Pelodiscus sinensis: one gene and its partners. The protein of the gene in region 1 purifies or fractionates together with the protein of each later gene. This does not show direct contact. Links are inferred from orthologs where the notes say so. Each region holds a gene or a part of one and is shown on either strand. Other genes may lie near its edges. The genes, in order: CHD4, ZMYND8, SMARCE1 and ubiquitin carboxyl-terminal hydrolase 36.

Region 1 (7,466 bases):
TGCACACAAGTGCGAATCAAAAAAACCCAAAACACCTTCTCTGATATGGCCCCTAACTAAGAAGGAGAAAAACATTCCCCACATCCTCCTCACACACCAGAGTCTTTGGGGGCCCAGGCTAGTAGATGGTGTGTGCTCCAGCTCTGCAGGAGGCCTACAGCATCAGCATGGGCTCCCCAATGCTGGGAGGGAGCCTTAGGCCTCAGGCCTTAATCTCCCCACCTCTGATCTAAGTGAGCTAACATATTGCATAGAAGACCTTAGCATACCCCTAGGAGTATGCATACCCTGGGCATAGCCCTGGTTAAGAGCCAGGGACCTAAGTGACTTCCCTGCCCCAGACTCAGACGCCTATGTACGAGGTAGGGATGATTTTAGAGTTCCTTTCTCAAACTCCTATTTTACACTGTTGCAAAATGAGTTGTACATCCATATAAGTCAGCAACAGATCTGGGAATAGAACCTGAAAACTGACTTTCAGCATCCAGGGCTCTAACCTGATTCAGATTCTCAGACAGAGACTTCAGTTACAGTGAAAGCCAGGTATGAGGCCTGAAGAGGCAAATACTAAGGCAGGGATTTTTAACTTTTTTCTTTGGAGTGTCCATCCCCCCCCCCCCACACACACACCATGCTATAAAAGCTCCACCCATGCCACAACCTATTTTTAACATATAAAGCCAAGGGCAGAATTAGGGGGTAGAAAGTTGGGCAACTGTCAAGGGCCCTGTGCTAGAGGGGGCCACCATGAAATTAAGATGGCTTGGCTTCAGTCCCAAATGGTAGGGTCCATGGCCCAGGCTTTTGCCCCATACAGTGGGGCTTTGCCTTTCCATCCTGGATCTCAGCAAATCTGGTGCCAGCCCTGCTTAGTAAACTCCCTGAAACCTACTCACAGCCCCCCAGGGGTCCCTGGATCCCTGACTGAGAGCAGTTGTACTAAGTGAAGTGCACAGGCAAGCTACTGATACAAAACACAAAAACAGGGGCTAAGGTGAACAGTGTAGAATGATCCATGGGAAGCTTGGAGAGTAGGGTGTGGTGAACAAAAAGTGGGTCATGCAATAGCCCAAGGCAGTTTCCTCTGGACTGTCAGCAGGTCTGAGCTCCCAGATGGATGAGAGGAAAGCCAGACACCTTGCCCTCCCACATACTGGTTCCAGTCCCAGCCATGGTACATACACCTTGCTGGCAACACACATGCCCCATTAAAACCAGACTCCCTGTCAGATGGATTGCCAACAGCCTGCACTAGCTTTGAATAAAATAATTTCTACTTCACCAAGGTGTGCAGACCACAGGTTTTAAAAAGGCCACAATAAAGAAACCAAAATATTCTAATCACCTGGGCTCTTAATAAAACAAAACTTATCATTTACATGCATCACCCATTCAATAAAACTGATAGACCCACTACCACTCCTTTTTACAACGGTAGCCCTGGGCATCCTACCTATACCTTGGTGCTGGGCAATGCTGTTATTCAGCAGGATCTCCATCTCCTCATCATCACTGCCAGCAGAACAAGGGGACGGGGAGCCAATGCCCGATGCCATGTCCTCCAAACTGGGGTACCCGGGCTCCAACAGCTTCTGCAGCCTTGTCTCCTCCTTGCCAGTCAGGCCAGTAACTTAGCATAAAAAAGTTAACTTTGATAGTCAGCACGAACCCACGTTCCCATACAATAATGTTACCCAATGGATGACCTACATTAGAAGGCTTTAAAAAACATCAGTATGGAATTTAGAACTGCTCGCCCCCCAAATAAGGGAGGAGTAGAGAAGAATGGAAATGCTGAGATTGGGCACTAGTTGAGGGTCCTGATGGGGGCAGTTTTGTGTCTACTGGGAATTAAACTGTCAGGAACGGACTGCAGGCAAAGGGCCACCAAATGGCAGTCCGATGATAGTTTCCAAACCCTTTCTGACATGACGCCAGACTAGCCCCGGTGCAGTAGAGCATGGCTACATGGAGTTCGGGGGCTTTTAAGTCAATCGGTCACCATTTAATTCGAGGCAGTTAACACCTTCGTCAAAGCTGCTCTTGATGACCCCTCACCCCAACTTTTGTGGCTTTACTACTCCAGGGAGTCAGCCCCGGCTGAGCTACCGGCGGGTGCAGCAGGGAACAAGTGTTTGAGGAACAGCCAAACTCGCTTTTGCAAAGTCTTCCCTGCCTCGAGCTGGCGATCAATGGACGGGAGGGAAAGCTCCAAGGAAGACCGGCTCCTAGCGGTGCGAGAGACCCGCGTCGCAGCCGCCCCCTTCCCCACCGGGCCCCCACCAAAACCCTTTCTAGTGCCGGGGGCCCACGTGCCCCCGCCCCACGGACCCGGCGAGGCAGGACCAGCCACAGCCGCGCGGTCCAGGGGCCCCACCACGCCCCCGGGAGCCGCCCCCCGCCCGCTTTCACGCAGGCAAAACAAAGGCGAGCCCGTGGCAGGCGCCGCGCGGGCTCCCGGCGAGCCCGCCCCCCCGCGCACAAGGAAGGGGGCGGCAGCAGCACGCGGCCAGCCGGGCTCCTGGCGGGGGGCGGGCGCAGCTGCGGCTCGGGGCGCGCGGCCAGTCCCGGGGGGCGGGCGGGGCGGCCCCGGGCAGCGCGAGGCGGCGGCGGGAGCGGGGCCGTTCCCCGGGCGGGGCGAGGTAGCGCCGGGGAAGGAGGGTCCCCGGGCGCCGCGGCCGCTCCGTGCCCAGCGGGGACACAAGGCGGCCGGGCCGAGGTCGGCGCCCCCGGGAGCCGGGGGGAAGGGCAGCTCCCGGGGCCGGGGGGCGCCGCCACGAGGGGTCAGCGCCGCGTCCTGCCCTTTGAAGCGATGTTGGGGGTTGTGTCCGGTCCCTGCCCCTCTCCTCACCCAGCTCGCCCCCGGCTCCTCGCTCTCGCTGCCGCCGCTGAAGGGAAAATGGCCCCCGCTCCAGCACCACCTCTTAAAGGGGAAAAAACCCGACCAGGCCCCTCCCCGCTCCCGCTTCCAGCCCATAATATGTCCCGACACCTCGGCAATGGGTCCGCCCCCGTCACCCTGGCAACCCCCTAACTGAGACATCCCATAATACTTGCCCTCCCTTTAGAACTCCCTACTCACTGGCCGGCCCAGCATCCCATAATAATCACCCCTCCCAGCAGGAACATCCCATAATACACCCCTCCCTCTGAGAAACATCCCATAATATTCCTCACACTTCACCCCCTCACTCAAACATCCCATAATATTACTCCTTTGCTAAAACATGCCATAATAGTCCCCTTCCCTCTCCCTCACAGAGACATCCCATAATAATTGTACTCTCCCCACACACTCTGACATCCACTCTCACCCCCAGTATCCCATAATATCTCTCCTCCCCATACCATTCCCCCCTCCCTCGTCCAGACATCCTACCATAATCCCCCTGCCTTGTTAAAATATCCCCTAATACCACACACTCACTGTCCAACCTGGCATCCCATAATAAGCACTACTCCCTCTACAACTCCCCCCCCAGACATTCCATAACAGCCCCCATAGCATCCCATAATAGTCATACCCCAGACAGATATCCCATAATAATAGTCGCCCTTCTCATCCTCCCCTCTCAGCCAGACATCCCATAATAGTTGCCAGGAGCCACTGTCCAGCCAGACATCCCATAATACTCTCAGCGATTCTTAGCCACAACCCACAATACTCCCACTGACTGCTTGCTCCCCCACTCCAGCCAGGCAGCCCATAATAATCACATTCATGTATTTCCCCCCCCACTCTACCCAGACAGACCAGAAGGCACCGGTGCCATCTGAATAGCCCACAGTACTCAAGCATGGAGACAAGCATCCTGTAGTACTACCTACCAATCCCTCCTCAGAAAATCTAATAATAATACTCACGATACATACTCACCATTCGCCCCACCCCCACTTCCCATCTACGCAGACCATAATAACCACTGGGGGCACAGGGCCAGCCATGCATCCCATAATACTCTGGCACAGACTGCCAGGCTTCTTTGTTCCTCCAGATGATACACTCAATGTATCCCATAATGATCAACACCCCCCTCCCAAACACACACTCAGGCAGGTAGCCCATAATATTCACTGGAATCAGCCTCTAGCCAGACATCCCATAATAATGATGTTCACCCCACTTTTAAAAGTGAATCAAGCATTCAATCCTACATATAAACCCCATTAAGGAATGCCATCCTACAGAACAGAAGAACAATCCATGTGAACAACTCTGAGACTCAAACATCCTACCAAGGTCAGGCATTATCCACCTCCCACTCCCAGATATTAGACATGTCCATCTCTTAATGATATACATCTTCATGGTATAAACTTAATAGTATCTTTATCCCTTCCATTTTATACATGGACTTCCCCTAATGGTATTTGTCCTTCTTTATAAAACACACAGCTATTCTATAACTGTGTCCTTCCCATTGTGTGTATATGTATATATGGACATCCCATAAGATTATTCACATCATTATATATACAGACATCCCATATTACAATCCTTGCATGCCCTAATAATATCTATTCTATCCCATTACACACATTAATATATTATCTAACCATTCCTTTATACACATGGATATCCCATAGTATTGTCCTCCCCTTTGTTGAACACACCAACATCCCATAATACAATCACTAATAATCCCTTACTATACACATGTAAATCCCATAATAGCACCCATCCCTATTTATGTGCACACAGAGACCATAACACTATCCACCCTTCCATTAGAGGTATCCATATCCCAGTTATATACAGACTTCCATATGACTATCCGTTCTTTTCATTATCCATATGGACATCTTACAGTATATACACACCCCATTGTAACCACAGGCATCTCATGTCCTTCCCTTAATACTGTATTTCAGTGGTCCCCAACCTTTAGAGGCTCCCGGGCGCCTGGGGGGGGGGCCACTCACGCTCCGGGCACCCGGGGGGGTGGAGCCATTCACGCACCAGGCGCCCGGGGGCGGGGCCGCGCGTCCTGGGGCACGCCAGGGGCGGGGATGCCCTTGCACCCGGCGCCGGCATGTGCCCCGGGGCCGGGGCCGGGGCCGCCCAAGCGCCTTGTGCTCAAGCTCCCCCACTGCCTCATCGTGGGCTGGAACATACAAAATCTGCTAGCCTGCATCCCTCTAGGCTCTGGCATGCAATGGTAATGTGGGGAGTATCTTTCACCTTCTTAGTCTGGGGCCATGTGAGTGAGGGGTTTTTGTTTTGTTTTGTTTTTTTTGGGGGGGGTTGCTTTTCATTTGTGTGCAGCCCCCGATTGATTTTTCTGTGGGTCAGTGGTCCCTGGCTCAAAAAAGTTTCCTCACCTCTGTCCTACACTGTCCATTCCTCCCAGTAGACACATGAACATCACTTAATACTACTCATTTTCTATTATACATGGATATTCTATAATGCTATCCAAACCCCTTGTTACATACACACACCTCCCACAACAGTATCCATCTATTGTTATAAACACAGCTACCTCATGATCAGGGCCGAACGAAGGCATGGGCGAGCCGGGCAGCTGCACAGGGCGCCAACCGATGAGGAGCGCCTGATGGCAGCTGTAAGAGGCGCGCGGCGTCCCTTACAGCTGACAACAGGCGCCGTGTGCCCGGCTTCCGCAGTGCCAGCCCCACGGTGCTGGCCAGCAGTGCCCTTGCCCTCACGGCTGTGGGGCCCTGCACAGCCTGGCACACGCGCCAGCAGCACACACCAGGCTGGGCTGGGCAGCGCATGCGCCATGCGCCCGGGGAGGGGGGTGTCGCGCGCCCAGGCCCAGAGTGCCAAAAGGGCTCGGGCCGGCCCTGGTCATGATACCACTGAAGCCTCTCTAGTACACATAGCCATCTCATAATACGATCTTTTCTTTGTTATAGTCATCCTACAATTCTGTCTATTCCCCCTTCCCCTGTGAAATAGTTACCCCATACTGCTATCCATTTCTCTTCACTCTGGCTATGTCTACCCTACACTTTTTTTCCAATTCTTTTTTCGGAAGAGGCTTTTCCAAAATTTGGCCCATCTACACTGGGCCAAATTTCGGAAAAACCTCCTCTTTCGGAAGTGCCCTTATTCCTCATAAAATGAGGAATACAGGGCTTCCGAAAGAGCGCATCTGCTCTTCCGAAAAAGAATTCAGAAGAGCAGACGCGTTCCCTGGATGTGGCGGAGTTTTTCTGGGATCCCGGAAAAATTCCATAGTGTAGACATGAGCCATGAGCATACATCCCATAATACACCTCTCATTATACACATCAGCATCCCATAATACTATCCATCTTATACACACATGGACGATTGACATCCTCCAAATTCAGTGTATGTATTTACACTACTATCCAAACCAGACTATCCACCTTAAAATACTTTTTACTACTCACAGTAGTACTTTTACTACTCACAGTAGTACTTTTACTACTCACAGTAGTAAAAATACTTTTACTACTCACCATCACTTTCCACCCACCTGTACACACACACACAATACATCTCTTCACCTCATTGCTTCAGTTTTTCAACTGTAAAGTGGAGAAAATGATACTGTCCTTCCTTTATGTGAGACGTATAGACAAAAATGCTGCGTAAGAAGTGAAAGATGTTACTCTTACAAATATTACTGGCAAGCGCCCAGTCTATCCACTGTAATAAACTCTATCACCTATTATAGACATGTACATCTTATCTTCATCCTCACTATACATGCAAATGTTCCATAAAGCTGTCCATTCCCTCTTTACACACTGATATCCAGTAATGCTATCAGGGTTGTGGTTGTTTGGGAAGAACCATAAAGCTTCATGATAAACAGGTCAACTGTCTACATACACAGCTGGTTATTACAGAGTTCTAGATATATCCCATACAAATTTCATCTTTATGGGTGTGATCAAGTTATTAAAGGTAACACAAGGCAGAATCTCTGGAACCAGGCCAAGTATCAAAGTTATGTCTCTGTATACCCTATACTACTTTTCCATTTAGGGTTATGATCTTGGGAGGACTACATGCTACCATGGTATAACACAGGCCTGTTTTGCAACATATATTTGTTTGGATGTCATGATTAATGTTAATCCTCTCCCTCTCCCTCATTATTCTTCATAAATGAAAGTTTCTCATTCAGCAGAAACCTTAATTCTGACCTGTAGTAATGCCATGCAAAAACATGCTTGGTTTAGAAAATTGTTCGTTCCCTGATACTAATTGGCTGGTCATTGGTCTTTGCTCCGGTGTCCATTTTGACTTGAGAGGAACTTCCTTTATTTTTAGGTAACAAATCATCCATCATGGTAGGTTGAGGCCTGCTTGGAGTTGAAACAGGTCTCCAGCCCTGTGATTAGACTGTTCATATCCATCTCTCATGCTAGGAGTTTTCTGTCCCCTTTGTTAGACTTGGGTTCAGCCTACACTTAATCTGCATAGTGGTTTTAACTACCAAGCTTCTGAAAAATCTTTTCATACT
Region 2 (6,819 bases), on another chromosome or scaffold:
CTGGCCAGTGTCAGCAGACAGGGCTAGAAGGACCTTTGGTCTGACCCAGTACGGCCGTTCTTATGTTCTTATGTACATATTGTTTGTGAAATAACACTGCAGTTTTACATGACTTAAATAAATACAAGACTATTCAAATCTGGAAATGGTCAGAAGAGGTAGGCATCAATAATGGAAAAATTCTGCCAGTATAGACCCATGAGGAGCTGGCAGATGACCCAGTGAAATCAGTTCATCTTCCCATTTTACAGATTGTCCCCACAGTATGTTGAAGCACCTGGGGATATATTTGTAAAAAAAAGTCTCTTCCTTAATCATCTGATTCCGTTGTCTGTCAAATATCAGCATATGAATTAAGGAAAAATACAGGTTTCATTTCCTTTTTTTTAGACCCAATACAGCTAACAAAGAACAATATATATTATATTCTGTCTCTAGCATCATCTAGCAAATTGTCGGTTAAATTCAGCTAATGCATTCTTTACTGTATGTGATAATGCCAGAGGCAGCCAGTAAATCTTACATTAACTTTACAAATAAAAATGCCAAGTACTGAAAAGTATATCCGATGCCTGAAAAAGCATACAGAATCCCATCCCATAATTTACCCTGGGAAAATGTCACTGACTTTTTTTTACTAGGTCAGAACAATTTCATTATTAATCCTTTCTACTTACTCATGCATAGCAGAATATGACCAATTGCTATTGTATCATGTTAAAGTTTCACAGAAAGACACTGTTCATTCTGCATACCAAGACAATATTAGCAACCTCATCCTGGCTCAAACCCAGAAACAACTTTATTTTGAAGCTCACTTACTAGTTGCTTTGATGCTAAAAATTAATTACGTCACAAAACTACATTTAAAATAGTTACAGTACTGTCTTCAGTACAGCTGAATAAATAATAAAATATTTATTATTTTGTAATAAATAATTTATTGCATAAGTTCAGGCTTGTCTTCCATTAGCAGAAACGCAGTGAGTGGTTTTCCTCAGATATATTTAGTACACCCACTCTAAATGCTCAAATGTCATACATTAGGCCCCCCACAAATTTAACTAAAATAATTTTTAAAATAATATTAGGCCTTTTTATTAGCTTCGAGTCATTGGGGTTCACCTTTCACAGCTTTTTGTTCAATCATAGAAGTTTAAAAAAAAACCTTCAGAAAACCTGAGATTCTTAAATGTAAAGGAGCTGGATCTTAAAGAAAAACACTAAATATCACCAGACTTGTGATTAAATTGCAAGAATTGGTATCAGAACAAAAGGTTCCAAATATTTTTCACTGTAAATTGATCATGATTTATAAAAAGTTCACTGAGAGTACTTGACAATGAGTCAAGTAACACATGCTGTTTCTGATTCCCAAACAAATGATACAAATACTTTTGAAGTGAATATAAACATGAAATTCAGTTTCCTGCACTACATATGCCTGAAACTTTGACAGAGAGCAAAAATGGGGCCTGAACTAGGTTAAGTGGTAGTGTCAATATGTCAGTTAACCGATGAGCATGGGCTCATCAGGTAACCTCAACGGTTACACAGAGCCCCCACCCTGCTGCCTCCCCTCCCCCCTTTAGATGTGTAACCATTGAAAATGTCAGTGGTTACACATTTAGCTGAATACACTCATTTTAACATTCTCAGCTTGAACGTGTCCAAACTGGATTTATTTAAAAATGTAGTAATTGAATATTCCTAGGAATATCACTGAGATCAAGTAAAAAGTAATTTTAGGGAGTTATTTTATAAGTTATTTTATATTAATTGGAATTTATGCAACATTTGCTAAGTAATAAATGATGTGAAAAGTGATACTAACTTTAGGACTGCTTTTTCCTGTCACAAATACTAAGTTTTCACTCCCCACTTAAATTCCTTTCTGCAATTTGATCCATGCAGGTGGAGCTTGCCACATCTGAAGAAGTGGGTTGTGCCCACAAAAGCTCATGATACCAGCTACATTTTTTGTTAGACTCTAATGTACTGCAGGACTAGTCACAGTTTACTGTAGTCAATTCCAGTTCAGCGTGGATTCAAAGTTTCCAGCTACACGCATTGGATTAGAGGATGAGGCCAAACACCTTTTATTTTTCTGTCACCTGAATTCTTTCAAGATTCTGATGAAGAACCCATCATTTCAGGCCATTCTCTAGGACGCCCTTTCAAAATTCCATTGTTTGTTTCCTCAGGCCATTAACAATGATTTCCCTTATTTCAGCATAGGAAATTCCAGAAAGTTCCCTCTACCTTACTGACCAACAGTACTGCCCATGGAAACTCCTGAAAGTTTCAATGAATTTTTGAGTAGATGAGGGAATAAAGACCCCTGGCATCTTAATGAAAGTTCCTCCCTCCATGTGAGAAAATTAGTCTCCATTCAGACTCCCCGCACCCTCCATTTTTCAGCCAGGTCTGAGGGGCAGCACCGCAGCCACTACAAAGATACAAGAGCTTTCCACCCCAGCCTGCAACTCTTTGTTTCTGGGCTACGCGGTTGGCCTTCCGTCCTGGATGCTGCGACTGACACGCTACGACAAAGCACCACTTCCAGGGACCTGAGCGAAGCCACTCAGTTCACACGACTGACAGCCAGCCGGCCGCGACGACGACAATGCGGTGCCTATTGAAACCTGCCTTCTCCATAGAGCCGCCTCCCACTCGTATGGGTCTGTCAGCTCCAGAAGAGGCACCCCAGCATCGGAACCAGGACGGAGCGGGACCTACTAGGACCTGTCATCTCCATTAGAGCCACTGGCTGGTAGGACTGAAGCACGGCGCGCAGAGGCCTACCGCCGCCACGCCAATAGCAGCAGCACCTCAAGCAGCGCGCGCTACCGCTCCGAGCTCCACCCACAAAACGGAGTGGAAACCTTAGCAACCGCGACAACCCCGCTTCCGCCCTCCCCTCCAAAGGGTTGCATTAGTTGTCTTCTGTAAAGCCCACCCACCGCAGGCGGAGTCACATGCCCCACCCTCTGGCTCATCTCATTAGCTGGAGTCGGTGTCACTCCTGGGGACCGCGAGAGCTATTCCGAGAATCAAACGGCGACTTTTGCCCCGCCCCTCTCTGAAAGCCACACCTCCCAGTGGCACGGCGATTAACCAGGACAACTGTCAATCATTGTGCTCCTGGATTGAGACTGGCTGATGCTGAGCTGTGGGCGGGCGGCGAAAAGCCGGGGTGTTTACTGTGCGTGAGGTGAGGGGGCTGTTGAGGAAGAATCACCACCTCTTTCCTGGACCCGGCCGGCTGCTAGGCCCTCGGGGGTTACCATGGGACTCCGAAGGAAGAACAAGAGCCCAGCTGTGCTGAGCCATGAATTCGTGATCCAGAACCATGCGGACGCCGTGTCCTGCCTGGCTATGGGCTTCCTGCTGGGGCTTATGTTCGAGGTACGGGGGCTGGGGGCTCTACCTGCGGCCGCCGAGCGGGGAGCACCCGTCCCAAGCGAGCCATACCGTTATTTCCGACCTGCGCCACCGCTGCTGGTCTGCGGGCAGCGGCCGAGCCTCGTCTCACACCCATCTCACTACTGGTCGCGATCCTCTTCTGCGCGCTCCGTTCTCCCCAGACCTGTCCTTGCTTGGGCCCCGTTTCTCCTGCCTCCCCAGCGCCTCACTCCGAGGGTTGGCCTTGTGACACACCCTCGCTCTCATCTCCCCCGTGCGCTGGTCCCCATGCTATTTATCCGGGCCCTCTTGTCATTGCTGTCTATCCCCGGACCCTTCATGCTCGTTCGTTCCTTTCCGCTGTATCCGACGCCCCTAGCTCACGACCTGCCCTCCTGAATCCCTATTGCCACACAGCTTCCCTTGTCGGCCCCTTCACATTAGTTGTAGCCCGTATTCCTTCCCAGCAAGCCCCTCATTCCCATCCATGCTCTTGGAGCCCAACCTGCCTTTTCTCTCGGGCGTGGTTTGAACTTTTTCGTGGAAACTTTGCAGTGGTGGAAACGTGGGTTATTGGAAATAGAGCTCCAGGTGGCCACTGGTGTTTTAACCACCAGATTGGCTTGACCTGTTATGAGCAGGGTCGGATGACATGGCAGTTGAAATGGTACCAGCAGTCCACCTCTGTTATTGATGATTCTTGCTCTCACTGACTCAGGTCAGTCAGTGATGGAGATCTAAAGAAAAATGCTAGTATTGACACAATCTTAGACTTGTCTCCCAATCCCTCTTCTCTTATGTATTTTAAAGTTAACTTTTTCTAATTAAATGAAGATGACACCTTTGATTTGGCTGAATTTTTTAGGTTTTGTTCTCTGGAATAAAATTGTTGTGTCATGATGCTGTATGAGTTCATTGTGTTAGTCTGTAAGTTGTTTAGTTTGATTTTTACTGCTGCTCTCAAGAATGGGGCAACCTAATGAAACAGGTAAGGCAGGTTGTTTGCCTTTTGTTTGGGGTTTTGTGGAGGTAGATGGGAAGGGGAGATGTCAGGACTGTCTGGAAACATGGTTTTCCAAGCTGAGACAATTTATGTCTGGGAAAGTTGTTACTGAAACAATCCAAACATCACTCATCACCTTGAGCTAGATTTAAAATAAGAATACTTAAAAATGAGAAAATACTTTGAAATACTGGGTTGAAAGATATTACGCAGTGTGAAGTATTATCTTTAAGGGTTTGTTCTTTACTGCTATGCTAGTCCTTTAGAATTCAGTGAATTATGCTGGAAAAGGGTGGATAATGGAGTCACGATAATCAAATAATGTCCCTCCAAACAAATGACAGATGCTAAGTTGGGTGATGCTGTAGTGTGCTGCATTAGAAGTGGTACAAACTAAAGCGGCTATATGACGCAGATAGAATGCTGGGATAGAAAGTGAAGTTGTGGAGAATCATTAGTTACAAGAGGAGGCTGAAGGTGGAAAAACTTTGATCCTCCTATGCGGACTAATAGGATATTTTGTCATGTGAATCCCTGGAATATGAGTTAAAGTGGATGAATTGGTCAAAAGTTAGAATGCTAAAAACAAACAGTTTGCGAAATTGTTTGTAAATCCTTGCTTGTCCAAAGTCAGTACGATCCTGTGTGTAAACAAACATTTACAGCCCCTCTAGCACTCAGTGTGATATTAATATAGTTTATTCCTGTACAACATGGGTGACCAGCCCATTCTGGGCAAAGAGCCAAGATAGCAGTGGATCCAGCACAAAGAGTTGAAAGGGGCAAAGTTGTAGAGGAGGGGGGAAAAAAAAAAAGATTGCCCCTTTAAAACGAGCCCCTGGTCATGTTTGGTCAAGCAAAAAAAAAAAAAAAACACCTCTTTAAAAAAAGGCTCTGCCCCTTTAAGAAACCGCATTGAAACGCGTTTTGAAGCTTTTGGGCCACAGCAGGCTCCCGCCACCTGCCGCCATCTTTATTTCTGTTGCTTTCATGGCTGCACCAGACAGCTCCCCTGCCCAGGTCAGCACAGGAAGCTGGGAGGAGAGGCCTTTTTTTAGGGGCGTGGGGGAGGCTTTCGAGCCATGGGGGCAGGGGGAGGCTTCATGAGCTGCACCCGGGGTTGGGGGGGGGGAAGAAGAGCCATATGTGGCTCGCAAGCCTTGGGTTGGCCACCCTTGCTGTACAGGAAGGAGAATAAGCAGTGTTTATGTCAGGCAGTATAATTTCATAAATAGTGAGGTTAAACCCATTTAACTATAGCTATAAAATATTACACCCATAACTGACCTAGCCATACAAGTACAGTTCTAAATGTAGTTTGTGCTGGGAATATTCAGCTGCATTCAAAGAACAATATTTTGTGTTGCGTTCTTCTGTCTGATGCAAAATGCATATACACAGTGCTATTGCAATCAATTCAAATTATGCAAAATAGGCAAAGGTGAGCTTGTGTAGCAAGTTAACTTTTAAGACTGTAATGCAATTTTTGGAAAAGTTGATTAAGAAACCTTTAAAGTTCCTGATGATCATGGACAGCCATTTGTAGAGGGCTGTGCTTGTCAATGTAATGAAAGTTCAGAAGAGTTCAGATCAGGGTCACTTGGTTGTTTTGATGGTGCTAGATCTCAACAGTTGTTGATGACATTGTGGTTTGAAAAATTCATTCATCCTGAAAAGTGAGAACTTTGTCCAGATAAGTAAGAAAATATATGCTATCAACTTCTTAAAAAAAAAAAAAAAAAGCTTTTATTATAAATTAAATTAAAACATTGAAGTGCTGGTCATTCTTTGAAGGGTCTACATACTCCTCTCTATTTCCATTCTTCTTTCAGGGCACTGCAAAGATTTCCTCTTCTGCATCTTGAAGTGTTTTGACTATCATTTTTGGGGTGGGGGTGGTGTCCTTGCCACGTGTGGAATGCAGCCTCATGTAGAACTGGCAGATTTGTAAAGGGGTCTAGGCCACGTATAAAATGGAACTTATTTTATAAGTGACAGATCTATGGGTAGACCCAATTTTTTGTTCTCCTCCCTTTCCTTCTGGTACAATGTGTGAAAGAACTTTGCCCAGCATTGCTTTTCTTTTTGTTGTAGCACAGGGTAAGGATGTTAAGAAGCGGGTAATTGACTAATTGTGTAGTCAGTACAGTTTGTATCGATTACACAATTAGTCGATAAGGTGAGGTGGGGTCCAAGAACGATGCCTGCTGCAGCTCTGCCTTTTAAATGTAGCAAGAGCCACCAGGCTCTTACTACTACATTTAAAAGATGGACATGCAGCAGTCCAGGACCTGGTGTGAGCCCCCCACCTCTGCACCATGTAGACAAGTCCTAGGAAAAACACCCTTCGCGGGTCAGATCTGGCCTGCCACGCCACTGGATCCAGCCCATGGATGCAGCGGGAAGTCTCA
Region 3 (7,919 bases), on another chromosome or scaffold:
AATCAATCAAATAGAAAAAAAAAATCAGACTTTACTGACATACAGTATTTTGGCCACACACTAACCTGATGAAACTAAAGGTAACGGAAGTTATTTACTTTAATCAGAGCACAACTACATGCTAAGTTATTCTGAGTGTGAAAGTCACTCAACTCACCTACAAGTGAAAGATTCCCACAGTATAACTCTAGCCTCAATTTCTACACAATTCTTGTTTGCTGTTTAAAACATCTGGCACCAAACCAGCTATGGTGTTTGGTGAGTACAAATTGAGTTGCAAGAAAAAGAGCAGCACAAATAGTTTAAATGTTGGGTTAGTTAATTTAGAGAATACCGAGTTCATGCTGCTCTGTCCCCGGTATAATCCTCTCTATTACATGAAGTCTGTTCTTGATTTTAGGTTTTATAAGCTGCAATATGAGGTGTTGATATTTTAAATGTGCATTCTATTTTAAATTACATTTCCTCCACTTACAGTAAAAATATAAGTGGAGATTTTTTTAATGGATTTTTCACAGAGTCATACTTTTCAAAGTTAAGAGATTTATTTTCTTCTCCCTGTACTATCAGAACAGTCAATACATCAATATGAATTATGTGTGTATATATTGACCAAACTGTCTTGGAATTTGGTCACTGTATAGTGATACTCAAAAAGCTCAATACTGAGGGACTACATGATTTGGGATTGAGCTACTGCCATCTGACAAAAGTAGAATGACCTTTGAGAACTTAAGTTTTATTGTCCCATAGGTCATTCTGCATCCTACCATTTCCTAGTAGAAGATGCAGAAATCTCAGCAGTTAAACCAAAGATTAAGGGCTACATATTGCCACCTTTATTTATAAAATCAAAGGACTACTTATATAGCAAGATGCTAGTCAACCACCACACAAAGCCCTGGTCTACATTAGAGAGTTATTTTAAAATAACCCCCCTTATTTTGAAATAAACAAAGGATCCACACTACCAAGTTCAAAATAACAGGCTGGTCATTACAAAATCTATATTCCTGCTTTCCCTGGGGAATAACACATATTTCAAAATAGTTATTTTGAAAGAGCATCCACACTAACAGTACACTGCTACTATTTCAAAATAACTACTTCCCAGACTAATTCAAAGTAATTATTCCCCAGTCCTTTCTGGGGCTCTAAGTCAAGGAAGCATGTCCACAATAATGGAGCCTGCCTCAGACTAATGTCGAGGCTCCCCCCATAGTGGGGACATGCTCTTTTGATTTTATTTTGGGTGTTATTTCTAATTTAGTTATTTCAAAATGATTTCCTAGTGTAGACATGCCCTAAGGGTGGCAGAGTCTGACCTTAAACAAATATGGAAAAGAAATTTAATTATCTTCTCATGATCTGTCTCTCCAGATCATGATACAGGCACTTTGTTGGCACAATACGGTGAAGTTTGTATTGTTGTTGCCTGTATTTTATATATTTCCTTATGAATAAATAGAGTACTGTCATGCACCTCTTCATACATATAATGAAAGAGCAGAAATCAACACAACTTTGCTAATCAGTGGAACACATACAATAGGTTTGGCATGTCAGCATGAAAAATGAAATATAAGAACACACACCACACCCGTACATTAAATATCTGAGTTAGATGCATAAATCCTGTTTTAGATTTTATCTTTCCTTTTAATTTTCTATGCATACAAAATAATTATTTTTCTTGGCAGATCTATAATACATGAAGTACAGAAAACTTTCATACTGTAATTAACATGATACTTTGTGTGTGCCAATAGGACTTCAAAATATCCACCACTAACATACAATGCTATAAGCAGGATTAGGAGGGAAAACTTTTGAGACTGCTTGACAGTTACTGCCTTGTCAATAAGTACAACATAGATCATGAATCCCTGAAACTTCCTCTTGTGTGAAACCTTCCACCTTAGCTTTCACAAATTATTTGAGAACCGTATAAAAAAAATATAACTAAAATTTGCACATTTGAAAAGAGAAGTAGTCAATAGCTGGTAGAAGAACTGAATTCCTGCCAAATTACTTCAAACGAGACTCCATATTGTAAACACTTTCCAGGATTGGACCTACGGACTCTTACAGAGCAGTCATATCACCCATTCAGACTAAGGAAAAAAAATCTTAAAGTCTGTGGGAGTTTTACTGAATTAAGGGTTGAATGTTATGTTGTACTTTAAGTATCAAAGTGTTTACATTTAAGCCATCAATGGATAAATATGCTACTGTTTCACTGCTGAAAACATGTCATGATATTTTTCAATTAACATGTCTGAGGAGACAAGGTAGGTGCAGTAATGTCTTTCATTGGAAAAACTTGTTTGGGGAAGAGTGTGTAGCTCGACCGCTTTTCTCTCTCATTGAAGCTGGTGCATAAAAAGATATTACCTCACCCATATTGTCTCACTAATATCCTGGGATAAATTCACAACAAGAACTCTGCATATACCTACAAATGCAGGATCTTGGGGAAGAAGGTGTCCTTTCATCACTTTGAATGTAGCTATTTTCTGGTAAAATAATGCAGAAGGTACATTCCCTCTTCTAGCAACTGCAGAGTAAATCTATTTCCAGAAAGAAAAATACAAGACCTAAATTACAATAAAGGGCATGTGGGAAGAAAGTGGTATCGATTCACCCACAACCCAGTGACTGTTCACTCCAGTGGAGCTATTCTCATTGTTAAGTGCTCAATCATATAAAGATTGCACAGTTGTGACCAGCATATACAAAAACCAATGAGAAATATTTCAAAAACATAGACTCATATGACTGTATCTAAGAGCATTTTAGCATTTTCATATTATCAAAATCACGTTATACTAGATTGGAGAGAAAAGAGTGGTGTAATGGTGTGAGACCAAGAAGGAAAGCAAGAATTAATGGACCCTACTTTCACCTCTACTACCTGCACTCTTCTCCAGAAACTCCTTAACTAACAGCAGGTAAAAACTTGAGTGAAATGGTATTTTGCCAATATAAAAACAATATTCTCACCTTTTTCACATAAATTTTCTGATGATGTATAATGGTGGTTTAAAAAGAAGTTCATAAAAATATGTATTTTGGTTCCCTTTGTTTTTTGTAGCCAAATGCAAGTTATGGATTTATCCCTTGTACTTGAGCAAGGGATAAATTGTGAGCCAATGTGGACCTTGACCTTCTATTTATTTGAAAAAGTGACAGATCTTCAGTGACCAACATCTGATTAGACAAACTCTGAATGTCCCAGAGAAAACACTGGCCCTTATTTCTAAAGACAAGTATTTAAGAGAACCATGTCCAGCAATGCCTCACCCTGGGCGGAGGGCAATCCATAGGATTTATGGGACTCTACGCTGTATGATTAAATTGATGTCCCTAAGCCTGATGGGGCAGCTGGGTGGATGGGGAAGACAATTTTTTAGAATTGTGCTTTTATAACCTTCAGCAAAATGCTAACAACATATTTTTAAAACAATTTTAAACTAGTCCTGTAAGTTTCTGAATGGACAACATATACCTGGAGTTTACAAATGTCTGTTAAATGACTTCATTACCAGTTGAATGGCTCTTTCGCAGGTTCAGGGTTCTGCTAATAGCTCTGGCAGGCTTTTTTCACCAGATCCTCTCCAGAGGAAGCCACAAACCAAGGAAAGGAAGAAGCAGATGTATGGACAGTCACATTAAGACCCAGTGGTTCCTCAAATTTTCAAGTGTCCTATGCAGGGTATGGATATGGGTATGGATAACTCTTCCTCAATATCTCTATTTAAATAGCTGAGTGCAGCCTTTAGTGGGGCATGCATAGGGTTATAAAATAACCATCTGATGCAGCTTCTCATATTATTGCAAAAGCGACGAGGAGTCCTGTGGCACCTAACACGGCTACCCCTCTGATACTTCATATTATTGCAATAAACATACATGTGGTGCAGGGACACCTCAGATAACTATGTGGGTAGAGACGCTTCCTCCTATATCAGTAACTATGCCAAGGCACATTATGTTGCAATTACAGTTGCCAGATGGTTTTGGAAAAAATACCAAATATCCCCCCTCCCCCAAAATATCCCAGGCCAGGAAAAAGTTTGTTGGGGGGGGGGGGGGGGGGGGAAGTGGTCCCTTTAAAAAAAATGCATGCTGAGGCTTTTTGGCACTAACAGGCTGCAGGTGGGCGTCCACCATCTTGCCTCCCTGCACTGGGCCAGACTGAGCACTGGGGCTGCCGGGCTGCCTCCATATTGAGCCAGACAGTCTGGGATTTTCACCTCCTAGCTAGGAAAATAGGGGCCATTTTAAGTGACGGGTATTTTCTGAATTTTTTTTACCACACAGGAGATGAAAATACAGACAGTCCGTTTCAATACCAGACCCCTGGCAACCCTACGCATGGCCGTCCCTGGGGCCGGGACACCTGGTTTTTAAAGGGGCAGCTGTAGCCTAGGCACCCGTGTGTTATAACCAGGAGGCTGCAACCGAGGCCTGCATAGCAGAGAGGTGCGACCTGCATCAGCTGGTTCCTTAGAAGCCAAGGCGGAGAGCTGACAGGAGGCGCAGCGCGAGTCGGCGGCCGGCCACCGCCTCTCCTCAAGCGACGGCTTGACAGGCTGGGGGGCGCGAGACTAACGGTCGCGAGAGGGGGAAAAGGCGCCAAAACAGTGGCGCGTGTCCTCCGAGGCGCGAGAACGAACCTAAAGGCCGCGAGAACACAACGCTCCAAACCCCACCCCCACCCCGGGAGCTGCGGCGCGTCACGGGGTCGCGAGTCCCTTGCGCGCCTCCTAGCGCGCCATGCGGGTCACCTGACGTGGCGCCGCTCGTCACGTCAAGCGGTCTAGCCAAGCTGTTGTGCCTCTTGGCTTTCTCGTTCGGCTCCGCAGATTCGCCACAGAGCAACCCTCCTTTCCCTGCCCTGACGGGAGACGATAAAAATTCCCTGGGTGTTGCGGGAGGGAGCCTGGCCAGGAATAAGCCAGGGGAGGGAGTGAAAAAGCGGGGGAGCTGGGGACTCCGTGTGGAATGTGCTGAGGCGGAAGGGCGGGCGGCTTCCCCCGAGTCGCTGCTGCCCACTCAGGAGCGCGCTGTTGGCTGAGAACAAAGGGGGCCCAGGCCGGTGCTGGAGCGGGTGAGTGTCTGAGGCGATGGGCGCTGCGTGAGTGGGCCCGGCACCGGCCCCGCGAAAAAGAGACCGTGGGAGAGTGGGGGGAGGGCAGTGGGAGAGCGATGCCCCCCCCGCGTCCACGCCCATGGGCGGAGGAGTAGCCAGCCCCCGCCCCCCACGCACCTCGCAGGGAGAGGGAGAGACACACGATGCCCCCCCCCCGCCTCCCCTACATGCGCTTCGCGGGGGGGAGGGGGGAGAGAGTGGTGCCCACGGACACCCCATGGGCAGGGGGTAGCCAGCTCACTCCGTGCAGGGAGAGCAGAGAGACAGCGGTGCCCAAGGGAGGGGGATAGCCAGCCCCCTTCTGGTGCTTTGAAGTGGGGAGGGCAGTAGCTCGTCCCCTCCATGCATCCTTGCAGGGAGAGGAGAGAGACAGTCATGCCCAGAGCAGGGGGAGTAGCCAGCCCCCTCCTTGCACCTTGCAGGGGAGGAGGGCCATAGCTAGCCCAATGGTTTTCACAGCTGGATCAGGGACTGGCCTAGGTAAACTGCTGTGGGGCCCACAATGCTTTGTTTATCTAAGGGTGTGTCTAGACTATAGGGTTCTGTCGACGAAAGTAGACTTTTGTCCACAAAATTATACCTGCGTCTACACTGCCGCTGAGTTCTGTCAACATAGCGCCGACAGGACTCAGCAGTTTTCTCAACAGCTGTAAACTTCATTCTACGAGGAATAACACCTTTTGTCGACAGAGTTCTGTCAACAGAAGGCATTATTGCATCTACATTGTCCTGTGTGTCTACACTGTCATGTTGACAAAGCGGCTGGCTTTGTCGACAGAACTGGATGTAGTCTAGACACTCTTTGTCGACAGAAGCTTTGTCGACAGTATCTGTTGACAAAAGCCTGTAGTCTGGACGTACCCTAAGTGTCCATAACTACAGAGCCTCACAGCTCCTCTTGGCTGAAAATGGCAAACTGCAGCCAGTGGGAGCTGCTTACACATAAATAAACAAAGCATGGGGGGAGAGGAGCCTGCCTCTGGGTTATGACCCAATTTTGAAAATCACTGAGCTAACCACCCCCCATGCACCTTGCAGGAGAAGAGAGGTAGCTAGTCCCCCTCTTCATGCACCTCACAAGGAGAAGGGAATGGTTCCCTTTCCCCCTCCTTCCACCTTGAAGGGAGAATAGGCTGTCAGCAATAACGAAGGAAGCAATTATTTCTTGCCCCGTTCCCAAAAATGGTAGCGAAGAAGGCAGGTACTATCCTCCCTTAAGCAAGTACACCTGCTGTAGTGACTGGTACCATGTCTGCATTTGTCATGCCGGAGATCAATCTTTTGGTATTCAATTTAGTGGGTCTAGTTAAGACCTTCAAAATGAAACTCAGGGCGGCTCTGGTTGGTGCCAGTACTCCTAGCAGTCGTGACAAGTAAAGGAAGTAGACTGGACTCCCTCTGTGAACACTGTACCAAGGTCCACTTAGGGTAAGCCAACTCCAGCAACGTATTTTACGTACCTGGAGTTGCATACCTTAACTCAACCTTCCAGGTATAATGTTTTCAAAGGTACCCTTACTGATTGGAGTAAAACTCTCAAGGTGTAAAACCCTGTGTTCAGAAGTGACATGGCTGTGTTTTTATCACCTACGTGCTTAGTATGTGCCTCATCTTAAAAAAAAAGTTGTAAAATTAGTATGTTACATATTATGTTTGTATATTTTGTATATTCCTTCCCATTCACCCCAAAATTGGATGAATAATGAGATCTTTCTGTTGTTCTCAAGCCAGGCCTCCATTTAAAATTGACCTACTGAAGCATTCTTTTCATTTAACCTTGTTGGAATCTCAACTGAGAGCATAACTTCTTTCGTAAGAGTTATCCAGTGTCGCCTACATTCCAGACCATCCATAGACCTTGGGCATGGAAATGTACGTGCCTAAGTACTTTATTATGTGTGGAAATAATCACGGGTTCAGCATTGAAACCTGTGCCTATAGTAGTGTTAATATTTGATGCCATAGACATTATTTATGTCAGATGATGAGCATTTACAGGATTGGGACCAATTTTGCTCTCTCAAATCCAATAAACTGTGGAAAAACATTGGAAATGCTTATCTTGTGTCTACATGAAGTAGTAGTACAGATTATAGGGCTATGATTTCTAAAGCATACAAATGTTAGCTGGTGTGTGCTACAAGTTCCCTTGTGTGCTTTAACATGGTGTTGTTTTAAACAGTACTGTGCTACATTAAAGCACATTAGCGAACTTTATACAGATTATTTATATTACAGGCTATACAATGAGCCCCTCAAAAACCTCATTGGACATATACATATAGCAAAATTGCTAAAAAATAAACCCCATAAAATGAAATTAATAAATTCTGAAAAACAGAAGCTCTAATTATGTTCTTTGTTTTAACAGTTCATGAAAACAGAAAGTGTTGTATTTAACAGTCTGACACTGTGTTCTCTTTTTTGTTTTTCAGAATTTGAGATATAATGTCAGCTGGCTGAAAATTTATCTGCCAAAATGTCAAGTAAGTTTGTATTTTTTTTAAATGTAAGACGTCTGTTCGGTGGCACTTACTTTCATGAATAACATTGCTGTTACATGGGAAAGGGCTACTACACCACGAAAATTATAAGAGGAATATTATCAGGTACAGTAATTATAAGTGAACTACCAATCAGTTAGTACTAAATATTACAGCAGTTCATAGCCAACATTGTGCACTGAGGATTTCTTTTAAGTGTCCAAAAGGTGAAAGGAACATGCAAGCATCCTACCTGCCAAGCTGCATAATTGTACTTTAGC
Region 4 (7,948 bases), on another chromosome or scaffold:
CCCTCGCCGTGCCACCCGTAGCGCGGACGAGCCCAGCAGGCTGGCACATCCTGGGAAGACGAGCGGCTCCCAGAGAGCCCCCCCCCCCCCCCCCCAGTCCTCTACGCACCCTGCTTCCTGATCTGGGCCTCATCGGAGCTCTTCTGGCGACCGGCACTCTCGGCCCTGGGGTTCAGCAGGACGTACTTGCCCTTCAGGGTCTCCAGCTGGTAGGAGAAGCTCTTGCTCGCCGGCTCAAACTCGATCTTCTGCAGCAGGATCTTCTTGGCAGACGACGCCAGCAGCTTGCCCAGCTCCCCATCCTCAGCAGAGTCCTTCCGGCCTGGCTTGAGCGCCTCCTTCAGCTTGTCCACGATGGGCATGGCGCAGCGGGGGCGGCTCAGCTGGCTACCCGGGGACGCGTCTCTCTGCAGGGGAGAGCAGGAGGAGTCTGGCCAGGCGGGAACTGCCACAGAGCGCCCAGAGCCATGTCAGACACGGGGGGGGGGAGGGTCAGTCTGCAGGAGCCCTGGCCTGCCAGCCCCCCAGAGAGCTCAGCACGCCGGTCAGCGCCGCCCTCCCGCTGCCACGGGGCCAGCGGAGCGTCTCCGCTCTGCCAGCTACGCTGGGACCTGCCCAGAGACAGCCCATGGCTCCGCGAAGCAGGGAGAGCCAGGAAAGGAGTTATGGGTCCCAAGAGCACCAGGCCACGCTCCACACTGCTCCCAGACCCACCAGCAGCTCCCTCTACCCCAGGGCTGGGGACCCTGGTAGGGTCGGGGGCCACACGAGCAAGCAGCAAAAAGAAACACCCCTCACAGACACGGCCCCCGGCTGAGGAGCAGAAATAGGGGCGCGAGCAACTGGCTGGCTAGCAAATGCCAACTCCACCCGTCACTTCCCCCCCTTTGCTGCCTCCATCAGAGAGAGGCAGCAAGCGGGGGGGGGGGGGGGGGGGGGCAGAGGCAGGAGTCAGTGCTGGGGATGGGGGGCAGCTGAAAAGCCGGTCCCCCCTGCACTGCCTCTGGGGGGGCAGAGGGGAAACAGCGCGAGGGGGGACTGAAGCAGCCCCTGCTCCCCCCACGTGGCGCTGGCTAGATTTCTGAATCAAGCACTGCAGTGGGAACTAGGGGTGTCGGACACTAGTCGACTCCTTGCTTCCCCCCCTCGTTGCCTCTAGGACAGACAGCGGGGGGGGGGGGGGGGCAGGAACCAGTGCTGGGGGAAGCTGGCTTAAAAACCAGTTCTCCCCAGAACTGTCTCCAGGGCTCCACCTGCCCCCCACTGCTTCTATAAGGGCAGGGGGGATGGGGAGGCTGCTGCTAAGCACCCCCTGTCTGCAGGGGTCCCAGTGGGGAGCAGCCCCCGCTACAGACAGGCTCAGTCCCGCTGCAGCGGCTCCACGGCCCATGGGGCTAGCTAGGTAACGGCAACGGAGCATCCTTAAGCAGAAAGGCCCCTCGCGCCCCAGGGCCCTGGGGCCAGGCGACTCGCTGTCTGTGCGTCAGCCCCATGGGGGGCGGCTGGGCCTGGAGCTCCAACACGGGCTCCCCAGTGCCGTGGGGAGGAACCCCCATCTGGGGGGGCTGACCCCCCGGGCCTCAGGCTCCCCACCCGGCCCCACCTGGGCAAGAGCCGCAGGGCGCAGCCCCCCCACCCCCGGCCGGACACAGGCAGCGGAGCGAGCTCCTGGGCGGCACCGCAGGGCCCCGGCCCCCGGCTCCCCCTGCGGCGCGGGGCTCTCACCTCCAGAGCCGGGGCTCAGCCGGCCCCTGCGGGGGCATCTGCGCTGGCGGGAGCGCCCGGGCCCGGCGCAGCGGGGGAGCCGGGGGGCCACTGCCCTGGCAGGGGGACGCGCTGCTCCCGGCCGGGAGGGGACACGGGCTGTGGCGGAGGCGAGGAGGGTCAGACCAGGCCGGGCGGAGACAGACCCGCCCCCCCCAGCAGGGACCGCCCCTGCGCCCCGCAGCGCACCCGCCCCCCCGCTCGCCCTGCTCCCCCCGCCCCCCAGGCCGCCCGGCCCCCCCCCTCGCCCTGCTCCCCCCGCCCCCCAGGCCGCCCGCCCCCCCCGCTCACCCTGCCCCCCGCTCGCCCTGCTCCCCCCGCCCCCCAGGCCGCCCGGCCCCCCCGCTCGCCCTGCTCCCCCCGCCCCCCCAGACCGCCCGGCCCCCCCCCGCTCCCCCCGCCCCCCCAGACCGCCCGGCCCCCCCCCGCTCGCCCTGCTCCCCCCGCGCCCCAGACCGCCCGGCCCCCCCCCCCCGCTCGCCCTGCTCCCCCCACCCCCCAGGCCGCCCGGCCCCCCCCCCGCTCGCCCTGCTCCCCCCGCCCCCCAGGCCGCCCGCCCCCCCCGCTCACCCTGCCCCCCGCTCGCCCTGCTCCCCCCGCCCCCCAGGCCGCCCGGCCCCCCCGCTCGCCCTGCTCCCCCCGCCCCCCCAGACCGCCCGGCCCCCCCCCGCTCCCCCTGCTCCCCCCGCCCCCCCAGACCGCCCGACCCCCCCCCCGCTCGCCCTGCTCCCCCCGCCCCCCAGACCGCCCGGCCCCCCCCCGCTCGCCCTGCTCCCCCCGCCCCCCCAGCCCCCCCCCGCTCGCCCTGCTCCCCCCGCCCCCCCAGACCGCCCGGCTCCCTCCGCCCCCCCAGACCGCCCGGCCCCCCCCCGCTCGCCCTGCTCCCCCAGACCGCCCGGCCCCCCCCCGCTCGCCATGCTCCCCCCGCCCCCCCAGCCCCCCCCCGCTCGCCATGCTCCCCCCGCCCCCCCTGCCCCCCCAGCCCGCCCCCGCTCGCCCTGCTCCCCCCGCCCCCCCAGACCGCCCGGCCCCCCCCCGCTCGCCCTGCTCCCCCAGACCGCCCGGCCCCCCCCCGCTCGCCATGCCCCCCCCGCCCGGCTCGCGCCCCCCCCCGCTACCTGCTCCGGCTCCGGCCTCTCGCAGCATCCGGGCCTCCGCGGCCGCACACGTGTCTGCGCCTTAAAGGGGAGGAGTCGGCGCCTGCGCGGGACCCGCCACATAACCCCCGCTCCCCGCGCTCACCGCCTCCCCTTTAAGGGGCGGGGTCTGCGCAGGCTCCGCGCCGTGACGCGATGGCGTAACCTCGTCCCGCTGCGCCTTCTGCGCGTGCCACCCACAGCCCCGCCCCCTGGCCGCGTGGCCCCGCCCCCGTGCCGTGGCCGGGAGTTCCGCAGGGCGGCGCGCCCGCCCGGCTGCACGCGGCTGCCTGTAGCGCCCCCTCCTGAGTCCGCCTGGCACGGGAGCTTGCCACAGCCCTGCTCCTCCCTGCCCAATGGCCCGTCTCATGTTTCCCACCCAAGGCGGAATAAATGTTGTTCTGTGCACCAAGGCATGTGCGGATGTGCACCACCAACAGACACACACGCATGGGCACTGTGCTAATTAGCCGGGTGGAATTTAACCTCTCCTGGCCGGAAGCCCAAGTGCTCAGCTTACGGGAACCCCATCTCTCCTGCCCTTCTCTGTCTCTTTGCCGGTTCCATGGCTGGGTAGCTGCAGGCTGTAGCCAAAGCATGGGCGTACCATGGATTTCTACGGGGGCTGTGAGATCTTGTGTCGTTTCTGTCCCTTGCCTGCCGCTTCCCACCACTGTTCGCTGTTCCTGCCGCTGCACGCTGAGTCCTTGTTTTCAGAGCCGTTGTTCTTGAGCGGTGGCCGCGCAGAAGGCGCAGCGGGACGAGGTTACGCCATCGCGTAGACCCATCATTTGGTGCCTATGGCCAGGACCATGTTTCCCAATGCGCTTGACTCTGCATTTATCAGCCCTGAACTTCATTTGCCATTTTGTTTTGTTGCCAGTTGCCCAGGCTCTGCCCAGTCTGCTTTGAACTTAGCTATCCAGAGTAGTTTTGTATCAGCTACAGACTTTGCCACCTCGCCCTTTACCCCCTTTTCTAGACCGTTTCTGAACCTGTGCAACAGCCCTGATCCCAGGACAGGTCTTGTGGGGGCACCACTATTTACCTCTCTAGTTTGAAAACTGACTGGTGCTGCCATCTCCAGTCGTCAGAGAGGGGAGCTGTGTTAGTCTGTGTCCACAAAAACAGGAAGTCCTGGGGCCTGGTCAAGAGTAACATTTACGTGGGCATAAGCTCTCTGGGCAAACACCCATGTGTCCGACAAAGCGGGTTTTTGCCCAGGAAAGCTTATGCCCAAGTAAACCGGTTAGTCTTTATGGTGGCTCTAGACTTTCCATTTTGAGAATTTCTTTGCAACCATGAAGCCTAGAAATGAACTGTTTAAAAAAGGAGGCTGAGATTCCCCTATAATCACGTGAACCCAGGAGCAGGGGCTTTAAGAAATATCATCAGATTCTGTGCGAGTCGGCAACACTGACACTGACTGGTTATTTCTACCCTGCGTTTCCTGTCTTTAACCAGTCACCGATCCAGGAGAGGCACGCCCCTCGTCTCCCACGACAGCTTCCTTTGCTTACAAACCTTTGGCGAGGGACCTTGAGAAAGGCTTTGTGAAAGTCCAACTACTCTGTGTAGGGATAACATATTAAAGTATTAAACATGATTCCCCCAAGTGGAAGTGACTCCTCATAATTTGTTCCCCACAACTAAAAGTCTAAGTAGTATAAGTTTGTTAAGTAGAAGCAGCATAGAAGTGTTTAGATTTATTCTTGTTAAAGTGTTTAGATTTAGTGTTATCAAGCTTGATAAGTGTTTAGATTTATTATTATTATTATTTGTTAAGATTGTTAAATGTTTAGATGTATTACTATGTAGCCAGAAACAGCTCCCCTCTCTGTGTTCCAGGGCTTGAAATTGACATTGCAGGATACATTGTAACAATGCATTGTCAAGCCACTAACTCTGCTCTGGGAGCCAAGCCCTGTAATTGACTAAGGGCATTGTTGTAACTATAGCAGTCACTACTCAGCACTCAGAGAGAGAATGTTTTAAGAAATGCCACCCAGAAACTTGTGACTTTTGGTAACTACAACTCTTGTCTATGTAAAGTTATTATACAAAATACTGTCTGGGAAACATTCATTAGGGAATGTATGTAAGAGAGAGAGTGCTTGGATGATGAATGAATGGTTCTGAGAGGTGCCAGCCTGAGAATGCAGCAACAAAGGGCTGAAGAAGGCGTCAGGTGCCAGTGCAACCAAAAGGTGTCAAGTGGAGAAAACCAAGTACTGGAGATCCACCTGATGAGATCACTGACCAGCACCTGGCAGCCACCCTGGACATCAGCATGATGCAGCAATTCCCATAGACTGGCATAGGAAGAAAGTCCTATAAGAACTGGACTAAAAGACTATGGAGTCAGAGTCCAAGGTTCTGCTGCCAGCCCACCAGGAGCTTCAGATGCGCATCTGATCAGGACTTCGCTCCCCACTCCCATCACTTGTGTACAGAATACCTGGCCAGTATTCGGTCACAAGCAACTTCCAGACTGGTAACTGTAACAAATACGCAGAACCTGGATGAATGGATGAATGAATGTTTATATGTATAATGTGTGTGTGTGTGTGTGTGTGTGTGTGTGTGTGTGTGTGTGTGTGTATGTATAAGGGTTAAGTGGTGATAGGAATAAGTAGTTAAACAACGTTGTTTGCTTCTATCTTTTCTTTATTCTTTATTATTATCTTTACAATAAATGTGGCTTTTTGCCTTATCCCCCTCATAAGATCCTGCTTGCTTTTATTGGTACAACACCTGTGTCCATTGGATCACGCTCGTCCACATCTTGTCCTCGAAGAGCTCTAATGGCTTACACTTTCCCCAAAAGACTCCCTCTCTCTCTCTGTCTCTCTCTCTCTCTCTCTCAGAGTAGTCCATGTGCAGGATGCAGCGCATGGATCTTCTCTTGTTTCAGGCTGTTTGTTCCTGCAGGTTTAGGCCAGTGTCTGGATTTCCAAAGGGGGCCCCACCTCCATTCACCACTGCCCGAGGCTAGGCTGGTACTGCATCCTCCTCCCCCAAACTCCTCTTTTTCCTGCTGCATGGCCTTGGCCGGGAAGAGGAAGCTAAAAATCTCCCAAAGGGTCCACACCTCCATTTGAAGTTCTTTAGGGGTCCACAGATTAAAGTGTTGTAAACTCTGCCAGCATTATTTGACTATTGTTGTCTGACCCGCTCCTCCTGCAACTGTGAATATTGCCGTCAAAACTGGGCGGGGGGAGCTCTCCGAGAAACACGGATATTAGCCACTGAAATGATAAAACTGGCATTGTGCCAAGCCGAAATCCTTGCTCTCAGTAATCATGTTGCAGCACTACTTGCCTGAGGAGCAGCTCAGCAGGACAGCCCCTCGCCATGTTAGGAGCAAGCAAGAGCTGAGCGCGTGGCCAGGGCAGGGTTTTGACATTTGCTGGGGGTTCTCAAGCATGGCCATTATAGCGAGAGCAACACTGGGCCGATCTCTCCAGGGGTCTCGCCCGGAGCTGTGGGTTCCCAAAATTGTACATGAAGAAGGCTGATGCAGCGGAACAACTTCAGCAACAACAAACTTAGCCAGCAAAACTTCTGCACTGAGGGAAGTGGGCGGATATCTATGGCACAGCCCCCCCAACGCTGGGTGGATTACTCACCCGCTCACAGCCAGTCCCACATGCACAAGCAGATTGGTGCGCCTGTCTAGCATCCCCAGTTGTATGTGGTACTTATTTCCACAGCCCCAGAGAGGTGCAGCAAATTCAGAGAGGAAAGCATTTCATTTTGTACAATATTGTTTATTGTCCAAAGACTGAATGTCCACATATGAATTATACAGAGCGTCAGAGACACGCACAGTCTGCTTGTCATTATTCAACAACTTTCATGTGTTTCCAGCACAAGAAGGTCTCAGACTTCAGATTCCAGCAAAAACATATTGCTCCAAAAAAACAAAAAAAAAACCAACCCAAAAAACCAAACCAAACAAAAACAACCCCACCCAGAAGCTTTAAATTATGGCAGCAAGTTCGATGCTCCTTATTTGTAATACTTATCAAGCAAAGATTTGAAGAGCACGATAGTGTAAACTTTATTTTTTTAAAATATTTTGAGTTGCTTGCATGGAAAAGGGGACTGGAGCTAGGAAGAAAGGCAGAGAATGGAACCAAGAACCAAAGGCATAAATTAAAACAAGCCAATCGACCCTCCTTCATACACTTGACAGAGAGATGTTTGCAATTCTGTCGTGTGAGGCCCCCTGCTCTTGGAGACAAACTAGCAAGGCCTTGCTGAACAAGAGGTAAATGGATGGGACCTCCCATCCCCCATCCCATATTATTAGTAAATCCAACTTCTGAAGACTTGTGCACTTGGCAGAAGAGGGGGACCCGGGAAGGAGGAAAAATACAAACTAACAGGAAAATCTGGAGGATTCAACCCTCCACAGACTTTCTCGACATTCGTCCCGCTTCATGTTGAATGCTTCCAATGCAGAAACGCGTTTTAAAAAAATAAGTGCAATTCTAATACCTAACAAGGAAATTTAAAAGTTACAGCACAGGAATGATACAGCTGATGCCAAAACAAACCGAAACATTAAAATCAAAGAGAGCATTTGAGACAGGAGTAAATGTCACATATGATATAACCGTACAGTAAGCAAACAGGAGTCTTATATTGGAGTGATTAGGTTTTTTTCCTCTTCATTTTTATATACTGAAAATCACCCAGACTGGTCCAGTATGACATCATTAAAAGCCTACACCGATGCACAGCATGAAAATGCCCCGGAAGCAGGTCTGCAGGGATAATTTCCAGACACTGGCTGGGCCTACGTTAGCCAGGCTACGCAGGTTCTCACAAAGGTCCCGGCTGGCGAGGCAGCGCTCTAGGGCCTCAACACAATGAAACTGGCTCAGGAGAGTGGGGCTGAGGGTGGCTGGGAGGGCTTCCCAGAAGACTGCGGGGCCGGGGCGTGTAGGCAGCCAGATGTCAGGTTGGGCTGCGTGCCTGCACGTGCATCGTCACGGCACAGGATGGGCTCATGCTCCCAGCCCGGGGGCCATCCCTGCCAC

Evidence for each region.
Region 2: the proteins of CHD4 (region 1) and ZMYND8 purify together in Homo sapiens (affinity purification with mass spectrometry; 7 studies listed by BioGRID and IntAct, with this or other methods). This does not show direct contact. The link is inferred for Pelodiscus sinensis from reciprocal best matches to the Homo sapiens genes CHD4 and ZMYND8.
Region 3: the proteins of CHD4 (region 1) and SMARCE1 purify together in Homo sapiens (affinity purification with western blotting; 3 studies listed by BioGRID, with this or other methods). This does not show direct contact. The link is inferred for Pelodiscus sinensis from reciprocal best matches to the Homo sapiens genes CHD4 and SMARCE1.
Region 4: the proteins of CHD4 (region 1) and ubiquitin carboxyl-terminal hydrolase 36 purify together in Homo sapiens (affinity purification with mass spectrometry; 3 studies listed by BioGRID and IntAct, with this or other methods). This does not show direct contact. The link is inferred for Pelodiscus sinensis from reciprocal best matches to the Homo sapiens genes CHD4 and USP36.

The regions. Positions count from the first base shown.
Region 1 is NC_134711.1:138,730,062-138,737,527, reverse strand, and holds the start of CHD4 (chromodomain-helicase-DNA-binding protein 4), read right to left. Parts: upstream 3,008-7,466; 5' UTR 2,852-3,007; intron 1,631-2,851; 5' UTR 1,557-1,630; coding exon 1,454-1,556; intron 1-1,453. UniProt on the Homo sapiens protein: ATP-dependent chromatin-remodeling factor that binds and distorts nucleosomal DNA. Acts as a component of the histone deacetylase NuRD complex which participates in the remodeling of chromatin.
Region 2 is NC_134728.1:21,915,380-21,922,198, reverse strand, and holds the start of ZMYND8 (MYND-type zinc finger-containing chromatin reader ZMYND8), read right to left. Parts: upstream 3,015-6,819; 5' UTR 3,000-3,014; coding exon 2,964-2,999; intron 2,856-2,963; exon of another isoform or gene 2,659-2,855; coding exon of another isoform or gene 2,650-2,658; intron 1-2,649. Other genes in the region: translocating chain-associated membrane protein 1-like 1, read left to right, coding at 3,289-3,408. UniProt on the Homo sapiens protein: Chromatin reader that recognizes dual histone modifications such as histone H3.1 dimethylated at 'Lys-36' and histone H4 acetylated at 'Lys-16' (H3.1K36me2-H4K16ac) and histone H3 methylated at 'Lys-4' and histone H4 acetylated at 'Lys-14' (H3K4me1-H3K14ac).
Region 3 is NC_134739.1:10,452,021-10,459,939, forward strand, and holds the start of SMARCE1 (SWI/SNF-related matrix-associated actin-dependent regulator of chromatin subfamily E member 1), read left to right. Parts: upstream 1-4,907; 5' UTR 4,908-5,113; intron 5,114-6,886; 5' UTR 6,887-7,027; intron 7,028-7,590; 5' UTR 7,591-7,634; coding exon 7,635-7,641; intron 7,642-7,919. UniProt on the Homo sapiens protein: Involved in transcriptional activation and repression of select genes by chromatin remodeling (alteration of DNA-nucleosome topology).
Region 4 is NC_134730.1:29,153,222-29,161,169, reverse strand, and holds the start of ubiquitin carboxyl-terminal hydrolase 36, read right to left. Parts: upstream 3,003-7,948; 5' UTR 2,883-3,002; intron 1,864-2,882; 5' UTR 1,726-1,863; intron 408-1,725; 5' UTR 363-407; coding exon 110-362; intron 1-109. UniProt on the Homo sapiens protein: Deubiquitinase essential for the regulation of nucleolar structure and function. Required for cell and organism viability.